Linked DNA regions of Saccharomyces cerevisiae S288C. The protein of the gene in region 1 interacts with the protein of each later gene in a biochemical or structural test. Each region holds a gene or a part of one and is shown in the gene's direction. Other genes may lie near its edges.

Region 1 (3,758 bases):
TGTCGTACCAAGAGAGGCAGCACTGGCGTGCCTTGATTTAATATAACTCCTGAGATAGTGGGGGTTACATGAGTTGTACAGCATAAGACTCCCTCTCCCCAGTTCTGTTCGTATATGTCGGGCTTGCTTGCGAAAGCAAGGGGTTCAATAAACAGAAAACAGAGTTTTTGGATAAAGTTTAAACAACGGAAACAGAGCAACAATGAAGGAGAGAATAAGTATCAATTGTGTAATTCTGTATACCGTAGTGCACAGTACGCTGTGCGCAACTCTTGCCTAAAAAATCTAGTTATCAAGCGGGGTGAATATGCTACAATGCCTCTTTTACGTTGTACTCTATCAAGGGATGATAGCAGTGGCACATATTGATTGATACGACTTTTCGCCGCGCGGTAGGCGAAAAGCAAAGAAAACTACAGTAATATCCAGAAATAGATGCATTTTATGTGCGAAATAAAACTCATGCTGAAAAAAATAGTAATAATTAATAGGGTAACGAATAGAATGCAAACCTTATCACGTGAAAGAGAGAACAATCATAAATGATTTAGTGCGTAGGTCCAGATTTGCGAAACACTGCGGAAGGCGAGAAAAGAATTCGAATATGAAGTAGGTAGAAGCAGAGGTAGGGCCGCTATTTAAAGATATACTTTTTCTGTACGGGCCGGTGACTTCGCAGTAGTGATGTACTATGAGATCACTATTTTGCCGGAAACTGTAGGCAAAAACCGTTTATGTCTTTTTTTCACCTTACGGGATAACCTCTGCTGAGAATTTCCAAAACTAGGCATGGATGATTGCCGGAATTTGAAACCCGGGCCCCGGAGGTTGATCGCACGGCAAATACATAAGAACCTTCTCCGCAATACGGGCTTTCCTCAATTTTCTTGGCCAAAAAGCGAGTCGGCCCCGAGCTACAAATCGGGAACAACGGAGGAATAGAGCGACAAGTTGATTCGGTCGTGCAGCCCGGAAAAAAAAGGCTGTCCTGCGGGCTTTATTCACTCCAATGCCGCTGAGAGGAACACGCGTTTCGTGGGCTTTGGACCACTACCCCGGCGTTCAGAGAAACCCCCCGGGGCAGGGGTCCGAAGTCTAAAAGTTTAATCCGGAAGTAGCGACGGGGGGGAAGCCCGCCGCGCACAGATGGCCAGCACAACGGAGCGGGGCCGAGGCGGCAAACGAGGTTAAGCCCGCTGAACCTGAAAAAAAAAACGAAAATTTTCTTTCATCAAGGACTAAAGTTTTCTTATGTTACGGATCTTGCACGCGGTAAGCAATGGCCGTAGCCTTTTCACAGTTGCTTCCAAGTGTCATGTATCGATTTTGCAGATTGTTCTAAAAGTAAATGGATTGCTATTTTCTTTCCGAGACTACTCTAAAAAAATTTATTGAGTATGAGATCGTTTTTAGATAAATTATATATATTGTAAAGCTATTAACTAATCTCCTATATCAATTTCTTCTTGCTTAACCCCGTGTGGTTGTTTAGGTCCATCTCCTTTTTCCTTTTAATTTTTTTACCTTTATTAATTCCTTCACCTCTCTAAACCCCAGTTTTATATCGTATATGCTATCTACAGGTCCACTTTACACTTAATAATATAAAAATACTACTATAAAGGAACCAGAAAAATAAAAAAGGGTCATTATTTATTTGAGCAGATCATTATCAAACGCATAGGAAGAGAAAAAACACAGTTTTATTTTTTTTCCACACATATTTATTGGTCTCCTAGTACATCAAAGAGCATTTTAATGGGTTGCTGATTTGTTTTACCTACATTTTCTAGTACAAAAAAAAAACAAAAAAAGAATCATGACCGCAAAGACTTTTCTACTACAGGCCTCCGCTAGTCGCCCTCGTAGTAACCATTTTAAAAATGAGCATAATAATATTCCATTGGCGCCTGTACCGATCGCCCCAAATACCAACCATCATAACAATAGTTCGCTGGAATTCGAAAACGATGGCAGTAAAAAGAAGAAGAAGTCTAGCTTGGTGGTTAGAACTTCAAAACATTGGGTTTTGCCCCCAAGACCAAGACCTGGTAGAAGATCATCTTCTCACAACACTCTACCTGCCAACAACACCAATAATATTTTAAATGTTGGCCCTAACAGCAGGAACAGTAGTAATAATAATAATAATAATAACATCATTTCGAATAGGAAACAAGCTTCCAAAGAAAAGAGGAAAATACCAAGACATATCCAGACAATCGATGAAAAGCTAATAAACGACTCGAATTACCTCGCATTTTTGAAGTTCGATGACTTGGAAAATGAAAAGTTTCATTCTTCTGCCTCCTCCATTTCATCTCCATCTTATTCATCTCCATCTTTTTCAAGTTATAGAAATAGAAAAAAATCAGAATTCATGGACGATGAAAGCTGCACCGATGTGGAAACCATTGCTGCTCACAACAGTCTGCTAACAAAAAACCATCATATAGATTCTTCTTCAAATGTTCACGCACCACCCACGAAAAAATCAAAGTTGAACGACTTTGATTTATTGTCCTTATCTTCCACATCTTCATCGGCCACTCCGGTCCCACAGTTGACAAAAGATTTGAACATGAACCTAAATTTTCATAAGATCCCTCATAAGGCTTCATTCCCTGATTCTCCAGCAGATTTCTCTCCAGCAGATTCAGTCTCGTTGATTAGAAACCACTCCTTGCCTACTAATTTGCAAGTTAAGGACAAAATTGAGGATTTGAACGAGATTAAATTCTTTAACGATTTCGAGAAACTTGAGTTTTTCAATAAGTATGCCAAAGTCAACACGAATAACGACGTTAACGAAAATAATGATCTCTGGAATTCTTACTTACAGTCTATGGACGATACAACAGGTAAGAACAGTGGCAATTACCAACAAGTGGACAATGACGATAATATGTCTTTATTGAATCTGCCAATTTTGGAGGAAACCGTATCTTCAGGGCAAGATGATAAGGTTGAGCCAGATGAAGAAGACATTTGGAATTATTTACCAAGTTCAAGTTCACAACAAGAAGATTCATCACGTGCTTTGAAAAAAAATACTAATTCTGAGAAGGCGAACATCCAAGCAAAGAACGATGAAACCTATCTGTTTCTTCAGGATCAGGATGAAAGCGCTGATTCGCATCACCATGACGAGTTAGGTTCAGAAATCACTTTGGCTGACAATAAGTTTTCTTATTTGCCCCCAACTCTAGAAGAGTTGATGGAAGAGCAGGACTGTAACAATGGCAGATCTTTTAAAAATTTCATGTTTTCCAACGATACCGGTATTGACGGTAGTGCCGGTACTGATGACGACTACACCAAAGTTCTGAAATCCAAAAAAATTTCTACGTCGAAGTCGAACGCTAACCTTTATGACTTAAACGATAACAACAATGATGCAACTGCCACCAATGAACTTGATCAAAGCAGTTTCATCGACGACCTTGACGAAGATGTCGATTTTTTAAAGGTACAAGTATTTTGAAATAGGCATGTTGCAATAAAACGAAAACAACTAAAAATCACGAAAACAAAATGATATTATACAATAAAAAATTCTTATTATGGGTAATGATAGTATTCTTCGCCTGCTTAGGCGTCCTTTTCCTTCAACAACAAAAATTCCAAAAAAAAAAAGTAAAAAAACAAAACTTTGATTGTTTTTTAATGATGTTAATGATTTTTTTTTTCTTTCTTTATCATAAAAAAAAAGTTAAAATGAAAAACAAATATGGGTCTGGAAGGCCATTATTTTTTTT
Region 2 (3,228 bases), on another chromosome or scaffold:
CCTTGTCGTGGGGTTAGATTATAAGAATCCCTATGTTTCACCTTACAAAGAGTTTCAAAAGATGAAACATCATCCATACTATTCAAAAGTTTTAGAAGGAGGTAAGTGTATCGCTTATGCTGCAAGAGCATTGAATGAAGGTGGACTGCAATCTGTACCCAAGTTGAATTTCCCTGGTGGTGTTTTGGTAGGGGCTAGCGCGGGTTTCATGAACGTTCCAAAGATCAAGGGTACTCATACTGCGATGAAGAGTGGATTACTTGCCGCTGAAAGTATCTTTGAGTCCATAAAAGGGTTACCTGTCTTAGAAGAGGTTGAAGACGAAGACGCCAAAATGGCTATGTTTGATAAGGAGGCAACTATTAACTTGGAATCATATGAAAGTGCATTCAAAGAATCATCGATATATAAGGAACTATACGAAGTGCGTAATATTAGACCGTCCTTCAGCGGGAAACTTGGTGGATATGGTGGTATGATCTACTCTGGAATCGATTCTTTGATATTGAAGGGAAAAGTTCCGTGGACACTGAAATTTGATGAAAAAAATGACGGTGAAATTTTGGAACCTGCTTCCAAGTACAAACCGATAGAATACCCCAAGCCTGATGGTGTGATATCCTTTGATATATTGACCTCCGTGTCTAGAACCGGAACCTACCATGATGATGATGAACCATGTCACTTGAGGGTTCCTGGACAAGATATGGTAAAGTACGCCGAGAGAAGCTTTCCCGTTTGGAAAGGTGTTGAATCGAGGTTCTGCCCAGCAGGTGTCTACGAATTCGTCAAAGATGAAAAATCGCCTGTGGGTACGAGACTGCAAATCAATTCACAAAATTGTATCCATTGCAAGACCTGTGATATTAAGGCGCCCAGACAAGATATTACTTGGAAAGTACCCGAAGGTGGAGATGGACCAAAGTACACGCTAACTTAATCACAGGATTCATTATTTATTTAATTATTTTATTCATTATTTATTTAAATTTTTCTATTCATTCTTTTATATAATCTATATTATTTATTCACGTAAAAGAGTTCTTTTCAGCCGACAAACTTTTCAGCTTCAATGAACCTCACGAGAACTTTAGAACCAGATTGTAAAAGCGGGTGCCCGGCTACCGATTGCATCCAGGTATTCAAACCTTGTCTCCTCTCTTCAATGACTTCGTTACTAAATCTATTACTCAAGAGAATTTTACCCGGTAAATGAGGTACCATGACTTTTGGGTGATTAAGCATAGAAATTTCCTTGATCAAGCATTTGCGGAAGAATTCAAAGTCTGAGTATCGTCTCCTTACTTTCGATACCCTCTTGTGAAAACTTGGCAAGTTTGTACGGCATATTATTTCGTAATCTGTAAACATCCCCTTCGAATCCATCCCATTTGGTATATGAGTTTTAGGGTTGTGCACCTCAATCTCTAAAAAGTTCTCAGGCTCAGCGTATATTTCGCTGTAACTAGGCTCTCCATGTCCTTTTGACAGCAAAGACTTTTCTGTAGACCCAAAGGATTTGAATTCTCTTGGCATACTTTGTGTAGATGCGTACCGCTTCTCAGCTGTTCTTGCCGTCCTCTTTTATGCAGTATTAAGATCCGTTTTAATCCATTCATTCATTGCAGGTTTACATATCAATACATATCACTTAGTACGTGATAGTGCCCAAAGCTATCCTCGAGTTCACTTATGCAATTCTGAGCACCCCATAGCCAAGTCCTCATAGTAAATCATGGTCCCTCCTAGCGCAATACTTACTAGAGTGTAGAAATCCCGAAATGTCAAAATCGAAGAGTGTTGTGCTCCCTTTTCCGTAGTTAAACTTAAATTTGCGTGGGACGGCTCCCTTAAGATTGCTTCCGGAGATTAAGCTTCCTTAGCTGCTATAATACCGCGTAAGCAAAGAAGAAGAATAGAGGGGAATAGGAGATAATGTAAGAGTTGTGACGCATTTGCAGCATCAGGATTGTTTACTCGCATAATGACTGATAGGAATTTCTCACCACAACAAGGACAAGGACCTCAAGAATCGCTCCCGGAGGGACCGCAACCCAGTACGATGATTCAGAGAGAGGAAATGAATATGCCAAGGCAATATTCAGAACAGCAACAACTGCAAGAAAACGAAGGGGAAGGGGAAAATACGAGGCTACCTGTTTCTGAGGAAGAGTTCCGGATGGTACAGGAGTTGCAAGCTATCCAGGCGGGCCATGACCAAGCTAATCTACCGCCAAGTGGTCGAGGATCGCTTGAAGGCGAAGATAATGGAAACAGCGACGGCGCAGACGGAGAAATGGACGAGGACGATGAAGAGTATGATGTGTTTAGGAACGTTGGTCAGGGATTGGTGGGCCACTACAAGGAGATAATGATCCGTTATTGGCAAGAATTAATCAACGAGATCGAGTCTACGAATGAACCTGGTTCCGAGCATCAAGATGACTTCAAATCACATTCCTTACCATTTGCGAGAATCCGCAAGGTCATGAAGACGGATGAAGATGTCAAGATGATTAGTGCAGAGGCCCCCATCATTTTCGCCAAAGCCTGTGAGATCTTTATTACAGAACTGACTATGAGAGCTTGGTGCGTGGCAGAAAGGAATAAAAGACGAACTTTGCAGAAGGCAGATATCGCAGAGGCCCTGCAAAAGAGTGACATGTTTGACTTTCTCATCGATGTTGTGCCTAGAAGACCTCTTCCACAATGAGAGAGTTAATGGTTATACAGCTGCCATTTGACCGTGCACCACAGCAAATTATCTGTTGGAAAAAGAAAAAACGCAAATTTTTTTCATTATTTTTTTCCAGAATAAGTTTGGTAGCAAATTGGCGATGAGATATCTAACAACGACTACTACTACTACCATAGGATTGTCTCGAATACATTGTGTTTTGCAGTCACACTGGTACTTCGTCCCTTGGGCAATCTAGATCACTGTATATACTATAGATATTGTTTTCAGAAGAGAAAAACTGTTCATATAAAGTAATTGTCAGCAAAGAAATCATGAAACATCCGTATGAGGAATTCCCCACAGGTTCCAAGTCACCATATAACATGTCTAGAGGAGCTCATCCAGGCGCCGTTTTGCTATCACCACAATCTTCTGCCATAAACAAGAACAATCCGGGCAGCAATTCTGGCAATAACCAGGGCAATTCATCCGTGACCGCGAATGTTTTGTCCCCTCAATCCCATAGTATGTCACTCAATGACATGCTT

What was found.
Region 2: the proteins of HAP4 (region 1) and HAP5 form a complex in vitro, tested with the Saccharomyces cerevisiae proteins (2 studies listed by BioGRID).

Annotation. Positions count from the first base shown.
Region 1 is NC_001143.9:230,408-234,165, forward strand, and holds HAP4 (transcription factor HAP4), read left to right. Parts: upstream 1-1,819; coding exon 1,820-3,484; downstream 3,485-3,758.
Region 2 is NC_001147.6:1,008,177-1,011,404, forward strand, and holds HAP5 (Hap5p), read left to right. Parts: upstream 1-1,984; coding exon 1,985-2,713; downstream 2,714-3,228. Other genes in the region: CIR2 (electron-transferring-flavoprotein dehydrogenase), read left to right, coding at 1-940; SNX3 (Snx3p), read right to left, coding at 1,048-1,536; VTS1 (Vts1p), read left to right, coding at 3,013-3,228. UniProt on the Saccharomyces cerevisiae protein: Acts a component of the CCAT-binding factor, which is a transcriptional activator and binds to the upstream activation site (UAS2) of the CYC1 gene and other genes involved in mitochondrial electron transport and activates their expression.